Kluyveromyces lactis: one gene and its partners. The main gene of each other region encodes a partner of the protein of the gene in region 2 in a complex. Links are inferred from orthologs where the notes say so. Each region holds a gene or a part of one and is shown on either strand. Other genes may lie near its edges.

The links. Proteins that work in one complex are often made in the same cells at the same time.
Region 1: the proteins of KLLA0_A03905g (region 2) and MLC1 are in contact, whole or in part, in a crystal structure (PDB 1N2D), measured with the Saccharomyces cerevisiae proteins. The link is inferred for Kluyveromyces lactis from reciprocal best matches to the Saccharomyces cerevisiae genes MYO2 and MLC1. Residues at the interface, in NP_014971.1 of Saccharomyces cerevisiae: Ile807, Ala810, Ile811, Lys812, Tyr813, Leu814, Gln815, Asn816, Asn817, Ile818, Lys819, Gly820, Phe821, Ile822, Ile823, Arg824, Gln825, Arg826, Val827, Asp829, Glu830, Met831, Asn834; in NP_011409.1 of Saccharomyces cerevisiae: Leu13, Phe14, Lys16, Asp29, Arg32, Ala33, Gly35, Tyr36, Asn37, Thr39, Asn40, Ala77, Thr78, Lys80, Ala81, Asp85, Phe86, Lys88, Ala89, Phe90, Val92, Met109, Leu110, Leu113, Gly114, Glu115, Lys116, Leu117, Glu121, Glu124.
Region 3: the proteins of KLLA0_A03905g (region 2) and INP2 are in contact, whole or in part, in a crystal structure (PDB 6IXR), measured with the Saccharomyces cerevisiae proteins. The link is inferred for Kluyveromyces lactis from reciprocal best matches to the Saccharomyces cerevisiae genes MYO2 and INP2. Residues at the interface, in NP_014971.1 of Saccharomyces cerevisiae: Ile1206, Ile1207, Ser1210, Trp1213, Arg1214, Gly1216, Phe1261, Phe1264, Ala1265, Ser1268, Ile1269, Phe1275, Gly1278, Met1279, Glu1283, Tyr1287, Phe1542, Asp1543, Gln1544, Val1545, Glu1546, Ala1547, Val1565, Val1569; in NP_013886.1 of Saccharomyces cerevisiae: His532, Gly533, Phe534, His535, Leu536, Asp537, Ile538, Leu539, Lys540.

Annotation. Positions count from the first base shown.
Region 1 is NC_006042.1:962,087-964,487, reverse strand, and holds MLC1 (Mlc1p), read left to right. Parts: upstream 1-1,376; coding exon 1,377-1,805; downstream 1,806-2,401. Other genes in the region: KLLA0_F10461g (uncharacterized protein), read right to left, coding at 1-458; ERT1 (Ert1p), read right to left, coding at 1,961-2,401. UniProt on the Saccharomyces cerevisiae protein: Essential light chain for the class II conventional myosin MYO1. Also acts as light chain for the class V unconventional myosin MYO2 and for IQG1.
Region 2 is NC_006037.1:348,271-352,032, reverse strand, and holds the start of KLLA0_A03905g (myosin family protein), read left to right. Parts: upstream 1-1,562; coding exon 1,563-3,762. Other genes in the region: FRT2 (Frt2p), read right to left, coding at 1-793. UniProt on the Saccharomyces cerevisiae protein: Myosin heavy chain that is required for the cell cycle-regulated transport of various organelles and proteins for their segregation.
Region 3 is NC_006041.1:162,152-165,650, reverse strand, and holds INP2 (Inp2p), read left to right. Parts: upstream 1-902; coding exon 903-2,903; downstream 2,904-3,499. Other genes in the region: MSS11 (Mss11p), read left to right, coding at 1-428; QRI1 (UDP-N-acetylglucosamine diphosphorylase), read right to left, coding at 3,018-3,499. UniProt on the Saccharomyces cerevisiae protein: Required for peroxisome inheritance. Acts as the peroxisome-specific receptor for the myosin V motor MYO2.

The sequences.
Region 1 (2,401 bases), on a different chromosome or scaffold from region 2:
TTTAAGTCTCCGGTGATGACTAACTCCCTGTAGATATTCATACTACTACTGACCGAATCCCAAAACAATGAAGATTGATCTAGGAATTTACCATCGGGGGCACGAGAGGAAGATGCTTCCAAACCTCTGGCCAAACAGTCATCCAAGGCATTAAGTTTAGAGAAAGCTGGAGAATTAGGAGAGTTTTTGAAATTATCGAATTTTATGTTTCTTCTTAGGTTGCGGACCTTTTTAACGTTACGTTCAATGATTTCATTATTTTCATACTTCTTCTTAGAGTTTCTCTTATCCGAAGACGACTTGGCTGGTGCTGCAGTTGTTGGATCCTGTTGAGGATTACGCTCTAGTGCGACAGCGCTGTTGAAACGGAACTGGGAATTTAAAGAATTTCTGGACGCAGAAACGAACTGATTTGGGACCCTACTCTTTAGGGTCTGTTGTTGGACAAGTCTAAACATGGTTTTAGACAATGGCAAAGAAGATGTTCTTTTTAACCGGAAAAAACACTAATAACGAACAGTTGATTAGCTCTGTGTATAATAATCAAAAGAATTTGTTAGTAATATGAACCAAAGACTTTTTTTATAGGTAAAAGTCTAAAATCTTGAATAGTGTTAGAGTTTAGGGAATATATATATATCCATCGCCTCTGAGGGAAACCCGAACCTATTGTAATCGGACATAGTAGTCACACATACCTTTTTTTTTACTGATGAACGAAGGAACACAATATAATGTTCAGAGTTTAAACGGTATACTGATCTGTGATATAGTACTGAGCTATAACAAAAGAAAACACAACAATGAAAATTATGTCTTAGTTAACAAAAGTGATACGACACTGAACGATAAAAAACTGTTATTGAGTATGTTAATAATCGCTTTTGTTATATAGGTCATATCAAAAAAGAAGCTTGAACACTTTTCATCGCTCGACAAGAAGACAAAAGAAAAAGTGTCATCAGATGTCAGGAACATTGGATGCTGAGGAAAAGAAACTGAACGAGGGAAGGTTGGAAATTTTCGAAATGCGATGTTGAATTGTGCGGGTAACAATATATTTGACTCACGTGATGGGTATTTAAAATCCGGGTAAATGATATCTGACTGAGTTTTAGGTCGTCCAAAAAAAGAGCTTTTGAGGCCCCAGAAACAATAATTTGTTTTCCATTTTGAAAAACGTAAACAATAAGAGTATCTTTACATTTGATATATTTACTGGAGGAAGGCATGCATTGTTCTACACATTCGAATAGATTTATATTTACCTTGGAGCTTTAAATAGTATCTACTTCTTGCTAGGCTAAGTGATACTGAATCGTGATTTAATTACGCAGTACTGTATTATTCATTGAAGAAGTGGGAAATCAATCATCATGTCCAGAATCAACAAAGATATTTTTACGCTATTTGACAAGCAAGCCAAGGGATCCATCAGTAAGGCCCAAGTTGGTGATTATTTGAGAGCAATTGGATACAATCCTACCAATGCGCTAGTGGAGGAAGTTGTCGCTTCTTCAGGTGACGAGTTGACCTTAGGTGATCTAGAAAAATTAGTTAAGGATAACGAAGAGAAGTTGGAGCAAACTACTCAAGGTAAAGTAGAGGATTTCATCAAAGCCTTTCAAGTTTTTGACAAGGATAATACTGGCAAGGTATCACCAGGTGATATTCGTTACCTATTGACCGGTCTAGGGGAAAGGTTAACTGACGAGGAAGTTGATGAATTGATGAAGGGGATCGAAATCGACTCTGACGGATTGATCGACTACAAGAAATTTGTTGAAGATGTATTGAGACAATAAGAGAGAGGATGTAATGCAACTCAAGATTACATGCATTAGTTAGTATAATACAAATATATATATAAATATAAATACCCAATCTCACACGCCAGGAGCTTTGCTCTTTTGTTCTATTCTAAGCAGTCCGATACTATTGACTTGTGACAGTTCTAGATTCAAAACCCAACGTCTTCTGGTAGGGTGAGAATTGGCATGAAGTTCCCTATTATCATCATAGGTAAACCAAAGGCGTCTCTTTTTAGCGTCCATAGACAACAACATTTAATAACGCTTCCCTTGATCGGGGTTAATAGATTACAAATTCGCATAGTTTCAGCACCTCTGAACCCCTGATATGCAACCCTAGTGAACGTTTGGAAGTACTCCATTACCGTATCACCATCCATCAATTCGACTATGAAGGTCATTTTGTTGAGTAGTTCTAGACGATTCCAGCCAGTCAATAGAGAAAACTCGTCATTCACATAACTGATCTGTCCGTTACGTCTCCATACACAAGTTGGGGTACCAACCTGAGAGATGAATTTCTCATACTCTAATAAAGTTCTCTGATGGCTCTTTTCCATAAATATCATATCTTCATCGGTGAGGTCGAT
Region 2 (3,762 bases):
TTAGACGAAATTCCAATGCCGTCAAATCTCTGTGTATATGTTTGATGTAATCCATTGCAAAATACTCTGGTATATCTTTACAATCTACGTCTATCTTCATGTCCTTTGGATCAGTTTCCTTAGAGTTAAATATGGGGAAAAGTTTGTCAGTAAACCCTGATGACAAATAATCAAGCGCTCCAGAAGTATCACCGCAGCTGTTGGCAGATGGGGAATAAAATAAGGTCGGTATTATCTCTCTGTTGCATTTTGCCTTTGAAGCGGTCTCAAGAAACTGTCTTGCCAAAGAGTTGCCCTTAGAAGGTTGTGATTCAAAAGACGATGCTGTTGTGAGGTCGGGCTTCAACTGAGAGAAATTTAACAGTTTCGTGTGCGTTTTCTTAAATGATTGAGTGGAGGAAATTGATATGTTAGAGTATGATTGATTTTTTAGAAGACCCAGACTACTGTTACCGCTCCCCGGTTTACTACTAGCCATATGTCCAGATCTATTGCTAGAATGCTCATCCTGACATTTGAACGAGCCATCTAATAACGCATCACTAAACCTTAAAGAACCACACGTAATATCGTCATGGTAAATGTTTTTATTACTGGCATGATGAGACGGATTGAATTCGGTCAAATCCCCCATCTGAGTCTTAGAATTGATCGAAGCACCAGATTTACGACGTTTCCCATCCCAAGGGACTCGTAGATCTGCGGCATCATTCTTATGAAATACGGACCCGCGGAACAAAGGGTTAACCTGGGATCCAATATGGTTGGTATGTTCACGATGGCTAACCTCCATTAGACTTCGAATTTTTGAGTTTGAGTTTGAGTTTAAAGTTCCTATTCACAAAGTAATCTCCTCAGCAAAAATATTTCAACTCTAAAACCTCATTCCATGAAATATTTTCGTCTTTACTCGCCACGAAATGAAACCAGGCTGCTATCTAATTCTTATTTGATAGCTGCGCCTTATCTCCACCTACCGACTTCCTCTATTCATGTTGGAATAGAAATTGTCTGATGAAGAGACGAACCAGGAACGCTATTACCCGGATAGTGCATGTGATTTACACGTGACTAAAAATCACCCTTTTAAAAGGCTAATTTGAGGCCCCATAAGCAAATATTCGCCCCACCAAGGCGAAAATATCCCTACAAGTTTACCTCACTGCATGCTTATCCGTTGCTGGCGCGCTGACGCGAAAGGTTGAATCCCTGCTATTTGTTTAGTCCACTTAAAAAGCTCTTGGGACAACAGAAGGGAAAAAAAAAAAACAAAAAAAAAGTGGGATCTTTTGAACAACAAATATATATCTTATTTGATTTATATGTGTTTTATTTAGATTCACGAGTTTCAGGAGAAGAGTAGAGCGGAAAATACAGGGAGCGAGGCATCTGACACCGTGTATCCTTGTGACTAGCAGTACGAAGCAATAGGAGACTGTTTTGATTTTAATTGCCGTGTGTCATTGCAGATTCAATTGAGTGCTCGTTGGCTTTTTCTGATTCAATTATTGGTTATTTGATTTGATCTTAGATTTCAGGTTTTAAGCGTTAATCAGCATAGGATGCCGTACGAAGTCGGGACTCGCTGCTGGTATCCCAGCAAAGATCAAGGATGGATCGGTGCTGAAGTTACTAAACATACCTTGCAGGGAGATTCCTATAATTTGGAATTGACTTTGGAGGATGGACAGAAAGTAGAGCTTTTAGTGTCTTCTTTAGATGAAACCAAAGAGCCTAGTTTACCCCTACTTAGGAACCCTCCAATCCTTGAGACTACGGAGGATTTGACGTCATTGTCATATTTGAATGAACCGGCAGTTTTACATGCTATTAAGGCCAGATATGCCCAGTTGAATATCTATACTTATTCAGGGATCGTGCTCATTGCCACAAATCCCTTTGATCGTGTGGATCAACTATATTCTCAGGAGATGATCCAGGCATATGCAGGGAAACTTAGAGGTGAATTGGAACCACATCTTTTTGCTATCGCAGAGGAAGCGTATAGGTTGATGAAGACAACAGATCAGAACCAAACAATCATCGTTTCTGGTGAATCCGGTGCAGGTAAGACTGTTTCGGCTAAATATATTATGAGATATTTCGCTAGTGTGGAAGAAAATAATGAGGAAAACGCACATCATAATTTGGAAATGTCTGAAACTGAAAAGAAGATATTGGCCACTAATCCAATCATGGAAGCATTCGGTAATGCTAAGACTATTAGGAATGACAACTCTTCCAGATTCGGTAAATATTTGGAAATTCTCTTCGATGACGATACTTCAATCATTGGTGCCAGAGTGAGAACATATTTGTTGGAACGTTCTAGGTTGGTTTTCCAACCGAAAACTGAAAGGAATTACCACATTTTCTATCAAATATTATCAGGTTTATCCGACGATGAAAAATCTCAGTTGAAACTTACAGACATACAAGACTACCATTATATGAATCAGGGCGGTGACTCTCATATCGAAGGTGTCGATGACGCCTCTGAATACGGTGATACTGTGGAAGCATTGAGTTTGGTTGGTATCTCAAAGGATACTCAATTCCAGCTGTTTAAAATCTTGGCGGCCCTTCTTCATATTGGTAACATCGAAGTTAAAAAGGTCAGAAATGATGCTTCTTTGTCATCTGATGAACCAAACCTACAAATAGCGGCAGATTTGTTAGGTATAGACGCTTTTGATTTCGCTAAATGGGTAACGAAGAAACAGATCGTTACCAGGTCTGAAAAGATCGTCTCATCCCTACCTTACCACCAAGCCATAGTTTCTCGTGATTCTGTGGCGAAATTCATATATTCAGCATTATTCGATTGGTTAGTGGACAACATAAACACCGTGCTATGTAACCCTGAAGTGGTAAGCGAGATATATACTTTTATCGGTGTCTTGGATATCTATGGTTTTGAACATTTCCAAAAGAATTCTTTCGAACAGTTCTGTATCAATTACGCTAACGAAAAGTTGCAACAAGAGTTCAACCAACATGTTTTCAAACTAGAACAAGAGGAGTACGTAAAGGAACAGATTGAATGGTCGTTTATCGAGTTCAACGATAATCAACCGTGTATTGACTTAATTGAGAACAAAGTTGGTATTTTATCATTATTAGACGAAGAATCAAGATTACCTGCTGGTACGGATGAAGGATGGACGCATAAACTATATGAAACTTTGAATAAACCTCCAACTAATGAAGTATTCTCCAAACCAAGATTCGGCCAAACTCAATTTATTGTTAGCCATTATGCATTGGACGTCACTTATGATGTAGACGGATTTATCGAAAAGAATAGAGATACAGTTTCTGATGGACATCTTGAAGTGTTAAAGGCTTCTAACAACGAAACTTTACTATCTATTTTGGAAACTGTTGACAAAAATGCGGAAAAATTGGCAGAGAAACAAGCCCAAAAGCAAGAAAGTCAAAAGAAACCCGGTCCAGCCTCAAGAAAAATCGTAAGAAAACCAACTCTAGGATCTATGTTTAAACAATCGTTGATCGATCTTATGGAAACTATCAACTCCACTAACGTTCACTACATTCGTTGTATCAAACCTAACGAAGACAAAGAAGCATGGAAGTTTGACAATCTTATGGTTTTGTCACAGCTTAGAGCATGTGGTGTCTTGGAAACAATTAGAATTTCTTGTGCAGGGTTCCCATCGAGGTGGACATACACAGAGTTTGCCCTCAGATACCATATATTAGTACCATCAGAGCTTTGGTCAAATATTTTACTATCGGATC
Region 3 (3,499 bases), on a different chromosome or scaffold from region 2:
AACACCAACAAAATCAACAAAATCAACAGCATCATCAGTTGGGTAACCAAAACATACTTCCAGGACAAGGGGATCCATCAGATAATTCAAGTCCGTCCCAGCAATATCTACAACAACAGAGAGCTTATGAGAACATGGTAAAATCACAACAGCAAGACCAACCAATGAACAAAGATCATTTTGCCATGTCACTCCAAACACAACAGCCTCAAAGTTTTGATTCATATGCTATGCCAGCCACTATGGGTCCACAAGCATCTTCTCAGCCTTTAGACAATAATAAAAAATCAGAACCTCTCTCAAAAATAGATGTTACTAACAATCAAGATTTCAATACATTCTCTGGTGGTTCAAATAACAAATTGAATTTTGGTCAGTTTGATATGTCAGGCTTGGGTAATGAATTCATGGGAGGGCGGAAGCAGTAATATGTATGTTTTACATGTTAGCTCCCTCTCATATCCGTAATACTAGTCAAAATCGAAATCAAATGACATCTGGTTTTTGACCAATGTAATTTACCGCATGGCGACGACCTAAATTTTTTCCCTTTCTTTAGTACCTAGAGTATATACCTTTCCCGTAATTAATATGTAACATTAAACTATCTGATTCGTTTTCATTGATGACTTCATTGACACTCTCTTTCGTTCTGTTGCCTTAATCTCGACTCTTGATAATGTCTTCCTGCCAATTTGTTCCACGATCAATTTTGTCGGATACTACTTTCTTTGTAAACGTAAACAAACAAAAAAAATAAAAAAAAAGCGTAACTTGATCTACATATAAATGACATCTCACTCTCAATACATTGGACAATGTAGCACAAAACTTCGAGGCTTGTCAAGCGGCTCATCCATCAATCCAACAGGTTGAATATCCTCTCATTTTGAGTGAAAACAATGGACATTTTCCAAGCGGTGCCTTTGCATCTGCAAATCCCTAGGATTGAAATTCCCAAAATGGCATCTGCAGCATCGACTCCATCAACGATGTCTTCGTCACAGACTTGGAGCAGTTCACGCCCACAAGTTCCGATCAGTTACCAGCAGTTGCGCAAGCTTAGTGAGTGGGGTATTGAGGCTTTGAAGGACACTTCGCCGACTGTTGTAGGCCAAGATCGCTTTGAATCACAGGAGATTCTGATTGATAACGATTACAGAACTGATTTTCTGAACTCACATGAAGAAGATAGCCGATGGAGTAAACAAGTAGATTTGATCATGAAGCAGCTACCTTATGGTGACCTGGATGCCTTTGTTGATGAATTTCACTATGAAATCATTTCCTCGCAACTGTTAACAAGCTCGATCGCTTCTCATCACCAGTTATTTACTGTTCAGAAATCAATCCTGAACTTCAATAAGGAAAACACCCTATCGATTCACAACGCTGAAGGAAAGACTATACCTACAAAATATGGACAATTGTTAATTTCTGGAAAAAAATTCTATTTACAGAGAACAATTCCATACATGTTCACCATATTGACGGCAAGAAAAGCTTTCCGTAAAATGCTTTATAAGAGACATCTACCTAGATCCTCTCTGATGTCCTTATTGATGATTGCTGTTTATCTAGCTTTACAGCAAGAGTACTTCCATGCAAAATATTCCAAATACACTGCCCTTTTAAATCTACGACAGATGAATGCTGCATTGCAATCTGTAGACAAATTAATCTATCGTTATCACCTGACTTATAAAGAGCTGACTATTTACAAACCAATCGCATTGACTGAAAATCGTGGTCTACGTTCAGATGAAGCCAGAACACTGACATTACTAACAGATGTCCTTACATGTACAGTAGACCAGTTATTTCACAAATTGAACATTGCATCTAGTAACATTTTGCCGGTTGTGAATGCAGTTCAGTTAACTGATTATATCAGTATTTACAATGTGGATTTGCAAAGCCTATATCAAATGATCCGAACAGTGGAAAGTCTGGACATTACACAAAAGTTGGAGAGATTGCAATATATGAGAAAGTTCTTTCTGTGCTGCTTACTTTCAATAAACTACACTGATCCACTGAAAAAGTGTGAGATTGCATTAGTCTTGAAGAGAATTTTTCCTGGATACCATGTGGAAAAGACTTCCGACATAGAGCGATTTCAAATAATCTCGAAACAATTATACACATTAACACAAGGTATCTCATCATTGTTGCCCGTTTTGCATCATTACAAACATTTACTTTTATCCGTGTACGGAAGTACTATTGAAAAAGAGGATCCCGAATCAAAGGAAGCTGTAATAACCCAAAGTATCTATCGCTTGTCTGAATTGCAGCGATACTTGATGAAACAGGACAAAACATCTACCGAACTCTCTTCTCACCTGATAGATGAGTTGAATGGAATAATACAAATATGGAATATCGACTATAAACATAACTCGCATGAACAGTTGAAACCACCGAAATGTTCTCCTCGGCCTTCCAGTCAGAGAGTTTTCAGCGGTGGACTCAATCTTGATATCGTAAAGACGACCAGTGATATCCCCGTGGTAGTTGATTCATTTCCGAAACTCACTTCGCTAGTAGACGTGTTAGAAGTAGATGAAACTGGGTCAGACATTGAAAAAGAACATGAGGAATTGGTGTACGGTACTGAAAATGATCAAGAAACAGCTTCTAGCAACGACTCTAAGTTTTCTCGTTTTACAGACGACCAGTTAAGGCACGAATTAAACCAACGAATACTGAATCTGTCAATTGAAAATAAGAAAAGTAGAGAAAACTTGAGAAAACAGAAAAGTTTTGAGCTGATGAATCGGAAAATAGAAAATCAGAAGAAGGGCAGGCCCCAGATAGATTGCAAAGGTCTTTTCAATTCCGAAGAGAGTATACCAGTACTTTTCGAACTAAAACAATTTTTAAACAGAAGAAGTGATTGACCTACATCCAATATTGATATCACTTGAATGATAAAAGTATGTATTATTTTAGTATATATAATAAACTTAAACCACCAGCATTATCGTTTCGAATATATTATAAACACTGCCTGGTTAGTTCAAAATTTCGCCTTGCTTATCGAACACAGTGCCTTTATAAGAGTCAAGGTTTTCCCCGCCGTAAGACAATAGACTTGAAACTTCGACAAGAATTTCATCATTGACTAGTGCTCCTACATCTTTCAACCAAGATGTAGTTAAATGAAGGTAAGCATCCCTAGCAGTTTCAGGATTATCATTTGCAGTTCCAGGAGCGTTTTTTAGTGGAGAGAATTCTTCTGCTCTTTCGACTTCCAAACAACCAAACCTAGACATAGGAATGGAGGGGAAAACGTCAAAAATAAACTGTTCTAACTTTATACCGTTAGGTTCTGATGGTTTCACATATTTGTCATTGACATTATCGTAGTACGAAATTTTCTTTTTGGCTATATGATATGGCATAGATTCTACCCAATTGTCCAATTTCGTGTTCAATAGATCTACTGAATAGTAATGGTTGACAATATTGGCAGCACGTAAAGTTAGTAGCCCTG